Linked DNA regions of Sus scrofa. The protein of the gene in region 4 interacts with the protein of the main gene of each other region in a biochemical or structural test. Links are inferred from orthologs where the notes say so. Each region holds a gene or a part of one and is shown on either strand. Other genes may lie near its edges.

Region 1 (5,303 bases), on a different chromosome or scaffold from region 4:
CACAGCGGGAACCCTATTCTCACCCTTCTGGAGATCCACCATTAGCAGCCGGAGAGTGAGAACAGAAGCCCGGGTCCTTTCCTTCCAGTCAGGTAGACACACCTTGCTGGGGGTTTTGCTTCCTTTCTTCAGCTCTCCTTCCCACCTGCCTGCTCCTCGATCCCCCAGCCCCCTTTCCAGATGTCTTTGGCAGCCTCCTGTCCTCTTTGGGCCCCAGAGGGGGGTCCTGGGCTGTGCTGTTGGAGGTGGGGCCCCAGCTGCCATCCTTACACCGAGGCTTCCCCGCGAATCCAGAGAGATCCCAGAATCCAGCAGCGTCACAGGCTTCGCTTGTTTGTCTTTTCCAAACTCCACGCTGGAGTCCCTGCCGGTTCCCACGTGGTCGGCAGCGACATTTCCTCCCACGGGGATGTTTATAGACCCTGGAGTTCACGCACACCCCTCCCGGGGGACGAGTTGAGAGCTCAGGCCTCGAGGGCACACCAGGTTGGGGAGCCCGCTGGCTAGCCTGCCCCTGGACTCCCGTCGAATGACCTCGAATCCTGGCTCTCAACTCTCTCAACTGGAGCTGCTCACAGCAGGAGGGACCGCCAGGCCTGTGGCATCTATCCTCAGTGGGCCGGGCCTTCCGGGGCCACTGCTGCACTAAAAGCCAAAGAAGGAGTTCCCAGGTGGCTCAACAGGTTAAGGATCTGGTGTTGTCACTGCTGTGGCATGGATTCAGCCCCTGGCTCAGGAACTTTCATGAAAAACAAAAGAGCTCATGTGAGAGCTGAAAAGCCGATCCATGGTTCTCACATGTTAGGGCATCAGGACACCCCCCGCCAGGGGTTCTGACTCGGGGTGGGGAGGCCCACTGGGACGGGGCCTGAGAATCCGCATCTCGAGCAGGTTCCCAGGTGGTGCTCCGGTGGAACCCACTTACCAGGTTTGAAAACCGCAGGAAAGCCCTTCCCGGGGGGCTTTCTGCTGCCGTGCACACACTTGTCTCCGGCTGTCCCACGTCCCCTGGTCGCCTCCGACCGCACACCACACAGGGCGGTAGCAGGGCAGGGGGTGCAGCCTCGGTTCTGCTGCCCTACAGTGACCTGGCCTGTCTGGTGGCTCTTGCAGGGAAGAGAAGGAGCGGTGGATCCGGGCCAAGTACGAGCAGAAGCTCTTCCTGGCCCCGCTGCCCTGCACGGAGCTGTCCCTGGGCCAGCACCTGCTGCGGGCCACCGCCGACGAGGACCTGCGGACAGTCATCTTGCTGCTGGCGCACGGCTCCCGGGACGAGGTGAACGAGACGTGCGGGGAAGGGGACGGCCGCACGGCGCTGCACCTGGCCTGCCGGAAGGGCAACGTGGTCCTGGCCCAGCTCCTCATCTGGGTAGGTCGCCCGCGCGCCCGGTGGGGCGGGAGTCACGGCGGGCACTTGGCGCTGCTCCCCGGGCATCTTTCTGGGGAGGAGAGGTTATTGTTGCCCACCTGGAAGTGGGAAGCCCTAGGAAGAGGGAATCGGTGATGTAGGTGTGGGGGCCCCTGCCTTTGGCTCCCCTGTGTGAGAGCAGGTGCAAAGCACCGAGAAAAGGGAGGAATGACGTTGGTGGCACACGCGCTGCTTCTGCGGGCACAGTGGCCGGCTTTGCACGGCATTTGCTAGTGTTTCTGCCACGTTCATTTTTGTGATGATCCCTTCAGCCAAAGCGTGGTTGGTGGTGTCCCTCTTGTTCCTTTTACGAAATACTCCCATCACCTTTGGGGGGCGGGGAGAGGATATGAACTGAATGATTTTGTATCGTTTCCCTTTCCCATTCCCAAACCTCGGGGCTTTGCTGTCACACAGCACAAAAATGCTGGACCCCACACTTTGAGGTTTGATGTGGTAGGAGGGTTGTCCAAGGGTTTCTCCTGGACTATCCTGGTTAATTCCACTTGGGGAAAGTTACCTTTTTAAATTTCTTTTTTTTTTTTTTTTTTTTCGTCTTTTGTCTTTTTAGGGCCGCACCTGCAGCATATGGAGGTTCCCAGGCTAGGGGTCGAATCAGAGCTGTTGCTGCCAGCCTATGCCACAGCCACAGCAACGCCAGATCCAAGCCATGTCTTCAACCTACACGACAGCTCATGGCAACGCCGGATCCTTAACCCACTGATCGAGGCCAGGGATCGAACCCACAACCTCATGGTTCCTAGTCGGATTTGTTTCCGCTGCACCACGATGGGAACTCCACCTTTTAAAATTCCTACTGGAGCATTTGCCATGCAGCCTGAAGGGGGAGAAGGAAGGAAGAGAGAGATTGTACTGGCCAGGAGCTGCTTCTGAGAGGCCCGCACACCCTGCCTGGCAGTGCCTGCATGCCTGTGGGGTCCTCTGCCACAGCAGGTCCCTATTCCAAAGGTGGCAGAACGAGTGGGTCCCTGGGTCACTGGATGGGGAGGGAGGTGCGTGCTCACCAGTGGTGGGACACCGTCCAGAGGGGGGGTCACCCACTGGGAGCTCTTCTGTCCCCACCCCCAGGGCAGGGGACGGGTCTGTCCACACAGCTGAGCACAATGCCAGTTTCCACGTACTTTGACCTGACTCTTGGGTTGGGTGGGATGAGAAATGGATGCACAGGTACCCGAATCACTCGTGGTCAGCATCTTGTTAGCAGTTGCACAGGCGTCTGCTGGGGCTGCCCTGACCAAATGCCACAGACGGGGCGGGGGCTTCAACAACAGAAATTTATTTTCTCCCAGTCCTGGAAGCCACTTCCAACATCAAGGTGAGGACAGGGTCTTTTTCCCATGGCCTCTCCCCTCCGCTTGCAGACAGCTGAGCTCTGGCTGCGTCCTCGCGGGGCCGGTCCTCTCTGAGCACACGCACAGAGTCTGGGGTCTCATCTTCTTAAAAGGACCTCGGTGACGTTGGATGAGCGCCCCTCTCATGTGGCCGCAATTAAGCTCATTACCTCTGTAATCCAGGCACGTCCTAAAGGACTGGGCGTTAGGGCTTCAGCAGATGAATTTAGGGAGCACAGTTCCACTGACAAGTCACATGTCATCTTCTCCTCTCACACTGGCCAAGCATTCCTTTAATGCTGTGCTTCTTGAAGACGAGAGATAAGAACTCCGTAAGTTACAGTGGAAGTGGACATCGAGCCACCCTTTTTCTTCCTTTCTTCCTTCTTTTTCAGGTCGTGCCCATGGTACGCAGAAGTTCCCGGGCCAGGGATCAAACCCGAGTCACCGCAATGACCAGAGCCACAGCCGTGACAACGCTGGATTCGTAACCTGCTGCGCCACCAGGGAACTCCCAATCCACCCTTTTCCAAGAGCAAGAAACTTTAAAATGCTTGTGGAGGAGTTCCCTGGTGGCTCAGTGGGTGAAGGATCTGGTGTTGTCATGGCTGTGGCTCAGGTCCCTGCCGTGGTGCTGGTTCGATCCCTGGCCCAGGAATTTCCACCTGCCACAGGTATGGCCAAAGGTAAATAAATAAATTTTTAAAAATAAGAGATAAAAAAGAAAACGTTTGTGTGATTGAACCTAGAAGTTCCCCCTCCGGTCATCACTTTAAGAGCCAGAGATGCTGAAAGAGTCCACATGAGGATAGACAGGTCAGCATGTGGCGCCCACAGACAGAGCACTGAGTGCTGTTGGTCCGGAGGAATACCCTGGTTCTTCTGCGTTGTGCTTTTGCGTAAATTTTAATGATAATGAGAAAATGATCAGTGCACCATGTTCGGTTAAAAAAAAAAAAAAAGATACAAATTGCTTGTGCCGCTCTTATCTCTGTTCTTCATATCTGCATTTAAGTCCAAAGAAAAACCGCTAGACGGAAACACACTGAAACGTGAGCCCAGATTATCTCTGAAGAGCCAGCGTGTAGCTGATTGTTTCTTCTTGTGCTTTTGTGTGTTACCTTGGTGTTTCACCCAGTGCAAATGAACCGCCTCCGAGATCCGTTTTTTTGTGTTTACAGCTGGCAGGTCACCATGGACTAGCAGTATGGTGACAAGGGACAGCTAGATTTATCATGGCGATCATTTTGAAATGTGTAGAAATATCAAATCACTGTGCCGTGTACCAGGAATTAACGTAGTGTCCTAGATCAATTATACTTTAAGAACGAGCAGGGAGTTCCCGCTGTGGCTCAGGGGAAACCATTCTATCCATAAGGACGCAGGTTCAATCCCTGGCCTCGCTCCCTGGTCGCGGGTCCGGCGTTGCCCGTGAGCTGTGCTGTAGGCGGGCAGCTGCAGCTCGGATCAGACCCCTAGCCTGGGAACCTCCATGTGCCGCGGGTGAGGCCCTAAAAAGACCAAAACAGCAATCGATCAAAATAAAACAAGCACCAAACGTGTAGAAAAGGAGGTCACAGGTCGACGGGGGTTAGGGGGAGGGACTTAGAGGAAGAGAGTCCAAAAATTTAAAAAACAAAATAGAAATAGCACAACCGGAGTTCTCCCGGGTGCGTGTCTGTTGCACAGGGGAGGGGCTTTTCGGCGCAAGAAGCGCACATTCTTCCCGTAAAGGACACCCCCGGGGCCAGGCCGTGCGGCCGCCCCTGGCCCCTGGTCTCCCCAGCGGGCTCCCGGCTAGCCCGGCCCTCGTGCGCCCGGTGACCCTCACGTGGCCGTGTCTCTCCGCAGTACGGGGTGGACGTGATGGCCCGCGACGCGCACGGGAACACGGCGCTGGCCTACGCGCGGCAGGCCTCCAGCCAGGAGTGCATCGACGTCCTGCTGCAGTACGGCTGCCCCGACGAACGCTTCGTGCTCATGGCCACCCCCAACCTGTCCAGGAAGAACAACAACCGGGGCAACAGCGGCGGGAGGGTCCCCACCATCATCTGAGGACCCGCGGCCTCCCCCCCGCCCCCCGCGGCCTCGGGAGTCACCGCACGTGAGTCCCGACGCGTCCCCTGGCTCCTCCCGGCGGACCCCCGCCACCCCCCCACCCCCACCCCCCACCCCCAGCGACATCACAAACCCCGGACGCTCCTGGGGGGCGCGGAGGCGGAGGCGGAGGCCCCGAGGCAGCAGCATGGATTCCTTTGCATAAACTCCCCTGCCGGACAGACAGGAGCGGCCGGCGGGCCTGGGTTCGTTGATTGCAGCACACGGCGCCGGACCCCGGTCCCTCCGGTGACCGGGAGACGGAGCAGGGCACAAGGGACTCGGGGACGAGGGGGGGAGGGGAGGGGAGGCGAGCAGCCGGGAGAAGGGGCAACTCCCCTTAACTGGCAGTTAAGCACATCAGTACATTGCACCTCTACCGAACGGAACACTGGGATTCCATCTCTTCTCCAAGGAGCTTGACGGCATAAATCAGAAGCAAGCAG
Region 2 (5,303 bases), on a different chromosome or scaffold from region 4:
TTAAGGGGAAAGGTGGACCTCGAAAGTCCAGCAGGAGGGGAGCCAGGATAGGGGCACAAGTAGGATGGGACTGTGGAGGGCGGCGTGTGGCGGGATGCGGGGGTCACCTGTAGGTAAAGTGCAGAATGGCCTGGATGGAGTTACCACCACCTGTGGAGATGTCGCCCTCAAACCCTGGGAGCAGGGGCAAAAGCACGTAGACGCGGAAGCACTGCCCCTGCCTGGGGAGGGGTGGAGTCAGAGTTGTGATCCGTGCCCGCCTCCCCGCAAGCTCCACCCCTCCTGTCAGGGTAGGCCACGCCCACCCCCAGGCTCCACCTTACTTGTGCGCCTTTAGGATTCGGTCCACAATCTCATCGCCCACCTTGTTCAGAACCGTCCGCCCATCTGAGCAGCTAATGAAGAACTGATTCTGGGGCAGGAACCCAAGGGAGAACCTCAGCAGTCTGGTCCTGGCGCCTGCCCTCCGCTCCCCGCTGCCTTTCCCACGCCTAGGCTGCAGGCCCCCGGCCCCAGGCTTCCTCAAGGACTGGTCCCACCGACAGTCTAAGTCTCCCTCCTGGGACGTCCCCTCTGTTCTCGGCCCCACCCTCACCCCGTCAGACCTCAATGTAGAGGAAGTGCTGGCTCTCCCTGATGGTGTGCAGGTAGCCATTGAGGATGGAGGCCTCCAAAGTGCCCGCTGACCAGCGGTCCACCGACCGCAAGACCTGCGGGGACGGGGAATACGACGTGGTGGGTGACCCCGGGAGAGGAGGGCTCTGCGGGGGGGCTCTCGGGTCAGGGAGAGGGGGCTGGGGCAGCGGGCTGAAGTCGGAGCCTCACCTGCACGGTGGCGCACTGCCCTCCCGGCAGCACGAAAGGGAGCTGGTTTGCGGTGCTGATAGACTTGGGCAGCAGGTAGGGGTACATGGGTGTCTTGTACTTGGCCTTTGTAGTCTGCAGCGGAGGGATGGCAGGGTCAGCGGAGGTGACAAGCTACCTTTGGCTCCCTCCCAACCTCCGCCCCCACAGGAGGGAGCCAGCACCTTGGTGAAATTCCAGCGCTGGATAAAGTGCCGGGCAAGGTCCCGGGCAGGTGGACCATGGACTACCACTCCGACGTCCCGCCATGGCATCCGGGGTGTGGTCTCCCTGTCAATGAAATCTGAGGGTCCCGGGAGAGTCAGCAGAGGGGCCAGGGATGGTCTCTTGGGGACACTCGGGGCAGGGAGGAGGAGGTGCTCACCAGAGGGGAGGCTGCATTACCCTGGACCCAGCTCAGCCCATCCTCAGTCCCAGCCCTCGGGGGCTTTGGAGAGGGACCCCTACCTTCAAAAGGCCGATCCAGCTGCACCCAGTCCTTAGTGATAAGATTGCTGTAGTCCTTGCCCAGCCAGAAGAGTTGGTTATGGGAGAGGTCTGGGGTGTCTGCAGAGTCTGAGCTCGAGGTGGGAGGCTGTAGGGGGAACACACCCAAGCCCAGGGCAGGGAGAAGTCATGGGGCCATGCAGAGCCAGGCCAGAGAGAAGAAAGGAGCACTGGAAGACTGGGAGACAGAGAGACACAGCGAGTAAGAAGGAAGCAGAGGCTTTGATTCCCGGGCCCTCCCCTTCAGCTGCATTTGAAGTCCCTAGAGGAACGGGGGGGGGGGTGGCTGGAAATGGGGAGGGGACTGGGTCATAGTATCTGCAAAGCAGGTGCTTGGGGGTCCCAGAAAGGCCAAGGAACCCTGAGAGTGGGCTTGGAATGATTGAGGGGAAAGGCTGAAGCCAGGAAGGGGTGGGGTGTAGGTTTAGGGTTAGCTGGGACTGGGGGAGCCCAGGAAGGCCTTGGAGGGGTTACCTTGGGAGCAGTTGACTCCGAGGAGTCCCCAAGGTCGGTCAGTCTGTAGTGTAGGTCATCCCAGCGGCCATAGGCGAGGTCCAGCCCCCCCAAGAAGGCCACTACTTGGTCCACCACCAGGAGCTTCTCATGATGGGCCCACAATGTCACCTGGTCTGGGTGGCGCATCACCTAGACCAGGTATGGGTGGTGGGGTGGAAGAAGGCAGAGGAGGTGTGTGCGAAGGAAGAGTGGAAGGATGAGCCATCCAGGGAAGGGGCAGACTGAGGGGAGGGGAAGTGTGACGGGGGGGGCTGTAGGGGAGGGGTCTCTGAGGGCCATGAGTCACCTTTATGTTGGGGTGCAGCAGCATCAGAGCCCTCTTGCTATAGCCACTGTTGATGCCCAAGGCCAACTCCACTTCCTTGAACAGCAGTACGGATACCTGGACACCCTCCTCCTGGTGGTCAGTGAGGGAATCAGATCCTGATGCCTCTCGGAATGACTGGTGTCCACCCTCCCAAACCCTTCCCCACCCTCAGGATTCCTGTATGTTCTTCCACGGCGCCTGGGGATCCTCAGTGCCCTGCCCCTTACAGCCTGCTGTCATGCTTACAGCCAACTTCGATGGAATACCATCCATCGGCTTACCCACTCGTCCATCCACCTATCCACCCAGCTACCTAGAATGATTTTCATCCATCTTCCCAACAATTTACTCCTCCCTTATCTACCGTCTATCATTCATCCATCTAGCCACCTACTCTGCTATTGATCCACCGTCCCAACCTCTTATCCTTCCATCTCTCTCCCTTTCCATCCTCTCTCCATCACCTGCGAATCCTTCCTCCCATCCGTCAACATCTATGGATGCCTGCAACATAGCAGACATACTGTGCCTTGGATTGGAGCTAGTGATATCCATCAGCCCAGGGAGAGAGACAGACATGTACCCCCCCAGGTAACACAATAGATGTTTGGGTACCAGGAGGGAAGTCTATACCAGGTAGAGGAGGGGCAAGAACAGGGAGGTGTCAGTTGCTCTTAGGGAAGAGGAAGAGATGGTGTCTGCCAGACACTGAGCCAGGATGGGCACATTTCCGCCTCCTCAAGTTTCAGATTCCCTACCTTCCCCATGTGCAACCCCCTCTGATCAGTCTCCACCCACAGGCAGCCCCTCACCACACCTTCCCTCCAACCTGACCACTCTCCTCACCGCCTTCTTCTTGAGCATAATGTCCAGTCTCCAGTCATCAGAATGGGCTGGACGCTTCAGGTAAATCTCAGGACTCAACCTGGGATTCAGGGCAGGGGGTGAGGGCAAGCTAAGCTCCCAACAATAGTCACTCCTCCCCTTCCCTCTTTTTCGGACCCATGAGCGGATCTGTCACCGGCCCTATCCTACCCCGGCTTGCTCGGGCTTTCCCCCCACTCACCACCAGTCTGTGATGAAAATCTCTTCTTGAGCTCGCAGGATGGCATCAGCCACAGCAGCAAAGTAACCTGCCCCATTCACAAACCTGGGGGGGAGGCCAAGCCAAGGAGGTCAGAGGAGTCAGAAGCCAGAAAGCTCTGGAGAGCGAAGACCGGAGGACAGTCATGGGTCAGAGGTGACAGCAGGGTCAAAGACCAAGAGTGATCAGAGAGGTGTCAGACGGTATCAGATCTATCAAAGTGGGATAGATTTGCCAGTATGAGCTAAATATAAAATTACAAATCACAACAGATACAATACACTAAAGAAAATGACTGAAGATTGGGAGAATTAATACATCATATATAAAGAGTTCCAAGAAAACAACAATGAAAAGACATATAAGCCAACTGGACAAAGAATAAGAACTGACGGTTCACAGGGAAATTAAAATAGCCAATCATAGGAAAAGATGTTCAATTTCATCACCAAACAAGGAAATTGATATTAAAATAAAACAACACTTTTAAAATTCACTAGATTTCCAAAATTTCAAACTGCAGCTAACATTCAATATTAGCATATGAGGAAGTGAGCACTCTCACAGACTGTGAGACTATACTTTGGTTTTATACCCTTTTGAGAGAACAATTTGGCACTACCTATCAGACTATTAAATGCACATGCCCCCAATACCATTAAATGTACTTAGTAATTCTATATCTAGGAAGACATTCTATTAAACACTTAGAAAAACTGTGTTCAGTGCAGCATCATTTATAAGAGAGAAAGTGAGAAATAATGTAAATACCTAATCTCTAACACATGCATTAAGTGAAAAAAATAAAACAGAAGAGAGTACATGATCTCATTTATGTTAAAACAAAAACTAACATGCATGCATGAGCATGCGGAAATATGCAAGTGAAGATCTCAGAGAACAAATATCAAACTATTGCCAGGATTACTTTTGGGGAGAAATGGGATTGTTGGGAGGGGGTGTAGGGAAGAAGTAACTGCTGGGGGGGTAAAGGCTTGTGGAATGAATTTTAATTTTCCACTTAATGTGTTTCTGTATTGTTTGACTTTTAAGAACTAACAATCCCATACGCTGGTTAAGAGCAGGGTCTTTACCCAGATTGTCTGGATTTTAATCCTGGTTCCACTGTTACAATGTGTGTGACCTTAACTTAACTCCCCCTTGGCTCAGTTTTCTTTAAAAAATTTTTTTAACTCAATGAATTTTTTTTTCTTGCTTTTTAGGGCTGCTCTCGTGGCATATGGAAGATCCCAGGCTAGGGGTCCAATCAGAGTTGTAGCCGCCGGGCTACACCACAGCCTTGGCAATGCCTGATCCTTAACCCACTGAGCAAGTCCTCATGGATCCTAGTCAGATTTGTTAACCGCTGAGCCACAAAGGGAACTCCCAACTCAATGAATTTGATTACATTTATAGTTGTACAGCGATCATCACAATCCAATTTTATAGCATTTCCATCCCCCCCACCCCCTCCCCACCCGTCTCATTTGGAAACCATAAGTTTTTCAAAGTCCGTGAGTCAGTATCTGTTCTGCGAAGAGGTTCCTTGTGTCCTTTTTTAAGATTACCCACATAAGCGATATTTTCTTTTTCTTTTCTCTTTTGTCTTTTTAGGGCTGCACCCATGGCATATGGAGGTTCCCAGGCTAGGGGGCAAATCAGAGCTGCAGCTGCTGGCCACAGCCACACCGCCACAAAGCCAGATCCATCCCGAGTTTGTGACCTACACCACAGTTCCTGACAACACTGGATCCTCAGCCCACTTAGCCACGCCAGGGATCAAACCTGTGTTCTCCTGGATACCAGGCAAGTTCTTAACCCTCTAAGCCACAACAGGACTCCTCAGTTTTCTCATCTGTAGAGGGGTGATAACAACTGTACCTCCTCTTGGGGTTGTTGTGAGGATTCATTAAGTTCACAAATATAAAAACCTCAGAACAGTTTCTGGCTCATATTGAGTGCTGCATGAGTACCAGCTATGATCAGTTCTTATGTTTAAAAATAAATCTCTTGGTTCCCGGTGGTGCAGCAGGTTAAGGCTCTGGT
Region 3 (5,035 bases), on a different chromosome or scaffold from region 4:
GGTGCCCGGGCTGTTGGAGCCCCCACCCCCTGCCAGGTAGCCCCGGGCTGGTCCCCGGAGCCTGGAGTCACTGACTGCTCCTTGGCCTCTCAGAACCTCTACGACAGCATCCGAAATGAGCCGTTCAAGATTCCCGAGGACGACGGCAACGACCTGACTCACACCTTCTTCAACCCGGACCGGGAGGGCTGGCTCCTCAAGCTGGGTACGTCCCCTCCTGACTCTGCCTCTGCAGGGCGGGAGGCTGCTGGGCCCCGGGCTCTGGACTCAGCTTTCGCACCTGCCCACTGTGTGACCTTAGGCCAGTGATTTGACCTCTCTGAACCTCCAGTCTCCACACCCAAAAAGACGATCAGGCCTGCCGGGCACACGTTCAGGGCCCACTAACCCCTTCTGGCTGCCCGCCTATCCTTCAGGAAGCCCTCCCCTAGGCCAGGCCCTGTTCCAGCCCTGAGGGCACAGTCGAGATGCCAGCAGCATGGTCCCCCTCTGGAGGAGGGTTCGCTCACGATGCTCTCAGGGAGCAGAAAACAACCCAAGGGGCCAAGGCACCCAGGCGCCTCTTGGCTCACTTGGCGGGGAATCAGGTTCCAGGCTAGACCCACTGGGAGACCATCGAGTCTGCCCTCACCGTCTGCTGCCTCCTCATCAGCCCAGCAGCAAGGTGGCTGCTCCAGAGGTAGTGTACCTGCCCAGAACACGGCCCAGGAGTTGTCACCTTAGCTCAGCAGAAACAAATCTGACTGGTATCCATGAGGTTGCGTGTTTGATCCCTGACCTTGCTCAGTGGGTTAAGGATCCAGTGTTGCCATGAGCTGTGTGTGTAGGTCACAGACGAGGCTCAGATCTGGTGTTGCCGTGGCTGTGGTGTAGGCTGGCAGCTACACCTCCGATTAGATCCCTAGCTTGGGAACCTCCATATGCTGCAGGTTCGGCCTTAAGAAAAAAAAAAAAAAAAAAAAAGGCAGAACATTACCCACAGGAGGCAGAAAAGAGCCTGCAGAGGGAGGAAACCTGGGCAGCCTGCCCCCTGGACCTCTCAGCTGGCTGGATTGGTTCCTGGTGGGAAGGGGACTGCCCTGGCTGGCTCAGATGAACCCAGAACACCAGAATGGGGCAGATGGGGCGGGGGTCCATCCACCTTTAGAGAACGGGGCATCAGCAAGTTCAAGGTCACTTAGCAGAGGTCCTGTAGGTGCAGTTGTCTGAGGATTGGAGTGACTCTTAACCCTCGGCTGCCTGGAGATTCCCCCTGGGAGCTCTGAAAACCGCAGTAACCAGGTCACAGACCCGTGAAGTCAGGCTTCTGTGCAGGACAGGCCATCCGTCATGTCCAAAGCTCCCCAGGGGTTCCAGTGCTGGCCAAGGTTGAGAGCTGCTGGCTCGGAGCTGTGTCTGGTAATAGTTGGTCCCGCTGGGTTTTTAATAGGGAAGCGGAGAACAGCTGTTTCAGGGAGGCAGAGACTCTGGTGAGGAATTACCATCCAGTGCAGGCAGTGGAGACTGTGAGCCTGGACAGTGAGGGGGTGGAGCGGGGGGGGGGAGCAGAGGAAGCTTCCAGCCCCAAGCAGGGGATCAAAGCAGGGCTTTGCTCCCTTCAGGTCTCACCACCCACCCCTTTCAGCACCCTCTTCCCCCCAGCTGTGCTCTCAGATTGAGGAATCCCTTCTCTGGCAACGGGGGCATAAAGAATGCCAGTCACTCTTCCCAGGCCCCATGCTGGCTGATGATCTATCTGCATCAGCTCCAGAGAGGCTCACGGGTCCGAGGGGTCTGGGGCCAGTTTCGATTCTTCAAGGAAGGCCAAGTGGCGCCCCTGGTGGCGAGGGGGTGGAAAGAAAAGCAGGAGGGGCTGGTTCCCCTCCAGACCGCTCCTGTCAGCAGGAATCCTTCCCATTTCTTAGATGAGGAAATCGCAGCTCGGCCACTGTCCAGCGGCCCGCAGGGCAGAGGTGGCCTTAGATCCAGATCTCTGGCCAGGTCATCACAAGGTCATTAAAAAAAAAAAAAGCACCTCTTAAAACACTGAAATAGGAAAGGGACTCGGTGGTGGTGGTCATACCCACAAAGACGGTTAGTCAAAGTCGTTATTGCTGCTGTTTAATCCTTTGGGGACCACACGGAGCCCAGAAGCAGGTCACTTTGAAGCAGGAAGGTATGGCCTGGAGTGTGTCTCCACATTGGAGTCCAGAGAGGGCAAGTAGCTGTCCTAAGGTCACACAGCTGGTTTGTACTCCCCTGAATGTGAGTCCCCCACACCCACCCTGACCCAAGGACTGGGGAGTTTTGTCTTCAGCTTTGTGGGGATGACCTCCGGGTCGAGACCTCTTCACCTTGGCAGTGGAGGACCCCCCCCTTGGCCTCGGATGCATCCTGGGGATTAAGCCGATTGGCCTCAGTGCGGCTCCGGATCCTTGGCCTTCCTGGGAGGGAGGGGTCCGGCAGGGGTCCCCCCTCATGTGGATGTAACTGGTTTTCTTCCCTCTCTCTCCCTCCCTCCCTGCCTCCCTCCCTGCCTGTCTCTCTGCTGTTCCTGTCTCTCTCTGGGCCACCCCCTGCGCACCCCTTCCCTCGCCCACCCTGCGGCTCGCGGGGCACCCCCTTCCTCCGCCTTCCCTTCTCGCCTGGTCCTGCCTGCTTTCTCGCTGTCTGCCCCAGGAGGTAGGTACAAGGCCTGTCCCCGGCAGGACACAAGGGGAGGGGGCTGCCCATGTGAGGGGGGCTGGAGGCTCGGACTCCCGGGCCCCGGGTGGACGGACAGCCTTAGAGAGTGTAGAGGCCCACGCTGGGAGTGGGCCGGTTCCCCGGGGTCCCCCAACACGACACGCCTGTCCCTGCTTGTCTGTCTTCCCACGCTCTGTCCTAGGCCACCTTCCCGCTCGGCTCTGTCTCTCCCGCCCTCCCCGCCCTCCCAGAGGCCCCGTCCCCCCGTTGAGCCCAGGCCCCCTCCCCCCCTTCCCTTCCAGGGGGCCGGGTGAAGACGTGGAAGCGCCGCTGGTTTATCCTCACTGACAACTGCCTCTACTACTTTGAATACACTACGGTGAGGGCGGGGCCGGGGGCGGGGCCGGGGCGGGGCTTCCGGGGAGGCTCGGGAGGGAGGTCTGAGTCTGCTCACCCTCGTTGGGTCAGGACAAAGAGCCCCGAGGCATCATCCCGCTGGAGAATCTGAGCATCCGCGAAGTGGACGACCCCCGGAAACCAGTAAGACCCTCCCTGTCCCCGTCCCGCCGCCGCGGGGGAGCACCTCAGGCCCCAGGGCCGGCTCTTCCCCGCTGCCCTGCCTCTCCCGTGTCTCCCCAGAACTGCTTCGAGCTGTACATCCCCAACAACAAGGGGCAGCTAATCAAAGCCTGCAAGACGGAGGCAGATGGCCGGGTGGTCGAGGGCAACCACATGGTGTACCGGATCTCTGCCCCCACGCAGGAGGAGAAGGACGAGTGGATCAAGTCCATCCAGTGAGCCTGGGCCCCCAGAGACCTTGGGAGGGTTGGGGGGCTGCGCCCCGACGCCTCAGCCCTCACCCTGGGATCCCGCCCCTTCCCCAGGGCCGCCGTGAGCGTGGACCCCTTCTATGAGATGTTGGCAGCAAGGAAGAAGCGGATTTCTGTCAAGAAGAAGCAGGAGCAGCCCTGACCCCCTGCCCCCAACTCCATTATTTATTACGGAGCTGCCCCGCCCGGGTGGCCGGACCCCTGGGCCCCGGGGCTGCGGATCCTGGTTCCCCGTTTGGAAGATCCATCATCTCTAGCTCCTCTCTCGTTATTTGTAATTAACACGCCATTGGTAATATTAATTATTTAACCACTCGTGGCCTGCGGACCACCTCATTTCTCGGGGTTGATGGGGCTAAGGTGCTTGGCGGAGCTGGCCCGGCAGCTTTCATCTGTGCCCGGGGCCAGGAACGCTGATGGTTCGGTGGCTCTCACAGCAGGTGGGGAGAGGGTGCTGTGTAGCCCCACGGGGCCTCTCCAACCCCAGGATGGCTGGGTTTTGGTTGCGCGCTTAGCCTGCGGAGGTGGAGCGAAGACAGAAGTTGAACGTGGCTGGAGTGAGCGTGGAGTTAGAACCGCTGGGTGCTGAGCCCGCAGGTACGCTGGGCCGGGCGGGGGGACGAGGTCTGACGCTCATTCTCGGTGGCTCTTCAGAGCAAGGAGCCAGGCCGATGCGGTCCCACTGCTGCTCTCGCGGGCTTGTGGTCTTTGAGGAACGACGCGTGGTATCTGGTGGGCTGGGCTCGTGCTTTGGGGGAAACCAGAGCTGGAGGATTTCCAAAGAGGAGCTGCTCTGGGAGGTTGTGGGGAGGGTGAATCTGGAAAAAAGAAGAGAGAAGGCCTGGGGATTGGGGAAGGCTTGCTCGGAGGGCTGGGCAGGCGGTCAGCGGTGTCAGAAAGGGGTTGGGGCCAGTACAGACGTGGCAGGACTTTGGGGCCAGAAGGGCAGGGCTCTAGGCCAGTTGAACCCCATTTCTCAGGCACTAGAGGACCCTCCTTCGGAGGCCATTTTACAGCGGGCAGGGAGAGCGCTGAGAACCTGCGTTTTTCTACCATCTCCTTTCCCAGGAATCTGACAGCCTCCAGAAGTGTGAGGACTGCCTCCTTGGAGGGTAGGGTCCCCTGAGCCCCAGGTCCAGGCCTGTCCCCCGTTGCCTTCCAGTTTGGGGTATGCATGGTATCCCCAAAGAACAAAAGCACATGATCTTGAGAGGGGTGTTGGGAGACCCTGCGTCTCCCTCCTTCGTCCAGGTCTGCAGGTGAGGAGGCTTTGGTACAAGAAACCACAACTCCAGGCAGGCCCTGGACCAAGAAGCTGCTGGAAGGGAAGCTGTGGCGCCAGGGCATCCAGAACTGCAGTTACTCCCCGTGCTCTGTCCTCTGTTCCTGAGGGGTCGAACCCCTACTGTCAAGTGCTCCCAGTGGGGTGTGGAGGATCCCGAAAGGCCTGGATCTTAGCCTTGCCTCCTGGCCACAGACATCCGGGGCAAAGGCCCCTTAGCGCTGTAACAACACTGCCACCCTTGAAGGTGGGGTCTCCC
Region 4 (4,517 bases):
ATAGACACAATAGAATAAAGACAAAACCCAGGCTGGAGTCATTATTATGAGATTCTTATTTCTGATTTTAAAAGAAATGAGGGAATTCTGTCTTCAGAACGGACAACTGGTTTTCAACCTGTCAGACTATTATCTAGGTGGCCTGCCTCCTGGGGGAAGGACACCTGGGCTTTGGCCTGCCAATTGCCCCACCCAGTGTGCCAAGAAGGGCTCCAGGTCAAGAGGGAGGGGGTCTATGGCACAAAGCACCTAGCCAGGCACAATCATTGTAGTAGCAACATGGGAATGTGGCCGGGGGCACTTAGGAAGGGTGAAGGGCCTCCTCCATAAACCACCCCTGGCCCTAGCCTCTTGGGCATACCCCATGTGGTGACCCTGCTGTCCCTTAGAAGCTGGCATTGCAAAGACTGGGACCAAGGGCTGGACTGCCAACAATGAGGCAATGAGGAAGTCACCACAAGGGCACTGGGACATACCCACACCTGGCCACAGGGAAATGAAGATGGGAAGGAGTGGACAGAAAGGGAATGGAACAGGTCAGGGCAATGCTGGCCTCCCTAGGTGAAGACCAAGCTGCTGTCCCTGCCCACCTCTTAGGAGTCAGGCTGTCAATCAGGAGCACCCAAACATGGGAGAGCCACGAAATAGTTAAGAGATTTTATTCTAATAGCTGTAATTACAGTGCTTGTTTGTCGAAATGAAAACTGAAAACAAGTATACAAAACAGTTGATTACTAATCGTGTATTGAAAGCAGTAAGAGGTTCCACGACACCAAATAAACCAGTTCTGAGGTTTTCCCCAAGATAAAGTTTAACAGCTCCAGCTTCTTCAGTGTTTATCAAAATACAAAAGAAAAAAGTAGAGGTTATCATTTTCGATGGCAAATCTGACCCCTGCAGGCTAAGGGCGTGAAAGCACATGTAGACAGGGGCTCCAAGGGGCTGGGGCTCTAGGATGACCACCCATGCTCCTGCTGGTGAGACCCCAGAGAGCCCGGAGCAGGCAAGCAAGGGGACTGCAGGGCTCCCGCTCCAGCCAGAGTGTTCCAACCAAGGTGCCCATGTTGACTCAAGAAAAGGCTGGGGTTCCTCCAAGGGGTCTGGGAGCAGTGGCTGCAGCTCCAGTCCATCTCCTGGGCGGCCATGTGAGCACAAATACAAGCAAAAACGCAATGGGGTGTGGGATGACCCAAGACAGAGCCAATCAGAGGGATCCTATTGTGACCATGCAGAATGGATCATGGCTGGTTCTGCTCCATTTCATTTCATGTTCCCAATGGGAAACAGACCACCAGTGGACTGGACTCAGGTGATTACTGCAGAACCTACACTAGGCACATTTCTCCCTTCTGTGTGTTCAAGTGTTCTCCTTATCTTGTATTTGTAACTATTTTTAAAAAATGCACTGAGTTTGGGTTAAAAACCAACCACCAAAATGGATCTCAACACAGATCTAAAGCCCAGAGGAGGAGGATTGGGCCTGTCTGACACGTGACTTCTAGAGGACCCGTGTGCCTAAAATCCTTTCTCAGTACTAAACAGTGGGTTGATTTTCTTTTTACAATAAAAAAAGCTGAGTAATATTGCATAGGAGTACCAGAAACTGCCTCATTGGAAACAAAAACTATTTACATTAAATAAAAACCCAGTTGCAGGCTGCGTCTGCACATTTACAGCATGGTGAAGCACACTGTGACTGACCATGGAGACAGCTTCTGGCACTCACACCACAGGGGCACGTTTGCCACATGAGAGTAAAGCAAGGGTAGAAGAGGGAGTGAGAGGGGAGGAGAGAGGTGTACAGCTCACTTCTGGTTCCGGAGCTGATTGGACAGCCAGTCCAGTCCCTCATAGAGCCCATCACCACTGGTGGCACAGGTGGCCTGAATGTACCAGTTCCTGTGGCGCAGAGAGTGTAGGCCCAGCTTGTCGGTGATCTCGGCTGCATTCATGGCATTGGGAAGGTCCTGGTGGGAGAGGCAGCACAATAGGCATGGGTCAAGGAAACTGCATGGAACCCTTTCCACCCGTCCTGTTACTCCCTCATCAGACCCTCAGACCTGAGAGGCCAACCACCTGACATGTGCCCACCACCCAGCAACAGGGTAGCTCAGTCATGCATACCTGTTTGTTAGCAAACACAAGCAGAACAGCGTCCCTGAGCTCGTCTTCTGCCAGCATCCTCATGAGCTCCTCTCGGGCCTCATTCACACGCTCTCTGTCATTACTATCTACCACAAAGATGAGACCTGCAAAGGGAGGAGTGAGCATTAGTGTAGGCACCGAGGACATCCCCGACCTCTCCTACAGGCCATGGCCCTCCTTGAGGGGTACAACTGGGTTCCACCCTCACCCTGCGTGTTCTGGAAGTAGTGGCGCCACAGTGGCCGGATCTTGTCCTGGCCGCCCACGTCCCACACGGTGAAGCTGATGTTCTTGTACTCCACGGTTTCCACGTTGAAGCCTGGAGGAGTAAGACCCAAGGTGAGCATCTCCCTAGAGCCACTGCTACCCCTTAGCCTCCGAGGCCCGGCCTCCTCACCTATAGTGGGAATGGTGGTCACGATTTCACCCAGCTTCAGTTTGTACAGGATGGTGGTCTTTCCCGCAGCATCTAGACCCACCATGAGAATGCGCATTTCTTTCTTGCCAAAAAGGCCCTTGAAGAGGTTTGCAAAGATATTCCCCATGCTGTAGACTGGTGGGAGCAACACTGGCCAGAGAAACCTGTCGAAACAAGAAGCCCCTGGGTCTCTTTCTGTGCTGCCCAGGGTCAGCAGAACAGGAGCAGCTTGAGAGACCACCCCTACCCACTCACCCACAGGCAGACAGAGGCTCTGCTATCTCTCCTGGAAACTCAAGGCATAAGCCGATAAATAACCTGGTTTCCAAACAAGACAAACCCGTCCACCTGCTTCTTGAGCCCCCAAATTACCCTTAGAACGGAGAGTATGGGAATCTTAGAATAAGGATGACCGGAATTTGAAACAGCTGCTGCCATTATCTCCGGAAATGATGCCCAAGGTCACAGGGCAACTTACCTTTAAGACCTTCAACCTGCCACTGTGGGAGGTAATGTCCAACATGCATGAAGAGGTGTGGCTTTCAAATGAATGCTAGATTCTCCACCATCTAACAGAGCTCTTCAAGGAGCCAGAAACAACCACTGCCAGGTCCTACCATTCCTCCCAACTGCCCCAAGTCTCAGTGAAACACAGTCCATGTTAAGATGACCAAAGCACAAGGAGCTAGAAGGGCCCATGGCAGAGACCAAAAGCCAACCTTTATTAACATGCTGAGAGCTTAGCACATCCTGCAGGTAGGACCAGGGGGTGAAAACACTTGGGCTCTAGGGTAGCACATGAAGGCATGCAGTCCAAAGGTGAACTCACAGCAACGGTCCTGGAGAGCCTGTCAGGGGAAACTTTGCCGAAAGCTATGGTCAGTGCTATCCTTGAGAGAAGGCCTATTCCGTGTAGCAACATGCTCACACAAGAACATGTTCCTCCCAGGCTTTCCTTACCCAGTAGAGCAGAAACACTGGGATACCATCAAGCTGGCTAGGACACAAGGTCAGAGCCCAGCCAGCCCCAGACACCCAGATCTGCAGGAAGGCACAAGTGACCGTAATTTGTCATTTGTGGGAGAGTGCTGCTCATGGGAAGAGGAGATCTCCCATCCTGAAATGTCCCCAGGGCACCAAGGCTGCCTAGGCCTGGCCCCTCCACATTCAGCACTTTCACTCTTTAACAGTTTTAGTTGCAAACAAGAAGGGAGAAAGTTCAAATGCTGAAAGCTAAGGAATCTGGATTTTTAGCATCTAAGTGAAGCCACACTGTGGTAGCTTTCAACTGTAAAGAACTCTGTGTGAGTGTTGACAGAAAACCAAATGAACCAGAGAACTTGTTCCAAGCAGGTAGGGAGCTACTTGCACGTGGATCACTGAGAGGGTGTTGGTGGATGGAAGCCACTGTCAAGGCTAGGAAGGGGCTTTGCCCTACATTCCTAATCCCCCATCCCTGGAAGTAACCATGAGCTCCCAGTCTTTGGGCTTTGGATGGATGTTGCTGGGGTAACCAGGCATGCACCACTGTACTCCACCTGGGGGGTGTGCCCCAGATCCCCACTGTTCCATGTCACCTCTGATGACAGGCTCAGGTGGAGTTGCCAGATCTCCACTTAAGTTTGCCAAGTCTCCACTGTAAGATACTTTTTGCCTAGTCATCAGTGAGGACTGGGTGACTATGTACATGTCCTGCTCCTCATCCAACTTCCACCCTCTAGTTTCAGCACTCTGACATTTCCTGGCTGAATTACTGCTATGAAAACTGTCAAAACGGTGATTTTCTATTTAGTCATTCTCAAAGCTGTTAGTATTCTACTGCAAGGAACCACCATTCCCTTCTTTGTGTACTGATATGGCATGAACTCATGCATTCTAGTTTATTCAGTGGATCAGAACAACCACCCCAGTGGGTCTAAGTGTGCCCAGTAGAGCCCCTTCCAGCAGGCTTCAG

Evidence for each region.
Region 1: of the proteins of ARF1 (region 4) and AGAP1, one has a biochemical effect on the other in vitro, tested with the Homo sapiens proteins (2 studies listed by BioGRID, with this or other methods). The link is inferred for Sus scrofa from reciprocal best matches to the Homo sapiens genes ARF1 and AGAP1.
Region 2: the proteins of ARF1 (region 4) and PLD2 form a complex in vitro, tested with the Homo sapiens proteins (2 studies listed by BioGRID). The link is inferred for Sus scrofa from reciprocal best matches to the Homo sapiens genes ARF1 and PLD2.
Region 3: the proteins of ARF1 (region 4) and CYTH2 are reported together in a solved structure, tested with the Homo sapiens proteins (3 studies listed by BioGRID and IntAct, with this or other methods). The link is inferred for Sus scrofa from reciprocal best matches to the Homo sapiens genes ARF1 and CYTH2.

Annotation. Positions count from the first base shown.
Region 1 is NC_010457.5:135,987,148-135,992,450, forward strand, and holds part of AGAP1 (arf-GAP with GTPase, ANK repeat and PH domain-containing protein 1), read left to right. Parts: intron 1-1,113; coding exon 1,114-1,369; intron 1,370-4,611; coding exon 4,612-4,815; 3' UTR 4,816-5,303. UniProt on the Homo sapiens protein: GTPase-activating protein for ARF1 and, to a lesser extent, ARF5. Directly and specifically regulates the adapter protein 3 (AP-3)-dependent trafficking of proteins in the endosomal-lysosomal system.
Region 2 is NC_010454.4:52,077,079-52,082,381, forward strand, and holds part of PLD2 (phospholipase D2), read right to left. Parts: intron 3,324-5,303; coding exon 3,240-3,323; intron 3,099-3,239; coding exon 3,020-3,098; intron 2,264-3,019; coding exon 2,153-2,263; intron 1,996-2,152; coding exon 1,825-1,995; intron 1,439-1,824; coding exon 1,312-1,438; intron 1,148-1,311; coding exon 1,029-1,147; intron 940-1,028; coding exon 826-939; intron 711-825; coding exon 606-710; intron 413-605; coding exon 324-412; intron 222-323; coding exon 108-221; intron 1-107.
Region 3 is NC_010448.4:53,875,048-53,880,082, forward strand, and holds the end of CYTH2 (cytohesin-2), read left to right. Parts: intron 1-93; coding exon 94-205; exon of another isoform or gene 206-2,661; intron 2,662-2,966; coding exon 2,967-3,043; intron 3,044-3,132; coding exon 3,133-3,204; intron 3,205-3,303; coding exon 3,304-3,458; intron 3,459-3,548; coding exon 3,549-3,636; 3' UTR 3,637-3,809; downstream 3,810-5,035. UniProt on the Homo sapiens protein: Acts as a guanine-nucleotide exchange factor (GEF). Promotes guanine-nucleotide exchange on ARF1, ARF3 and ARF6. Activates ARF factors through replacement of GDP with GTP.
Region 4 is NC_010444.4:51,233,766-51,238,282, reverse strand, and holds ARF1 (ADP-ribosylation factor 1), read right to left. Parts: upstream 2,729-4,517; 5' UTR 2,728-2,728; coding exon of another isoform or gene 2,691-2,727; coding exon 2,543-2,690; coding exon of another isoform or gene 2,465-2,542; coding exon 2,354-2,464; intron 2,250-2,353; coding exon 2,125-2,249; intron 1,968-2,124; coding exon 1,806-1,967; 3' UTR 1,772-1,805; downstream 1-1,771. UniProt on the Homo sapiens protein: Small GTPase involved in protein trafficking between different compartments. Modulates vesicle budding and uncoating within the Golgi complex. In its GTP-bound form, triggers the recruitment of coatomer proteins to the Golgi membrane.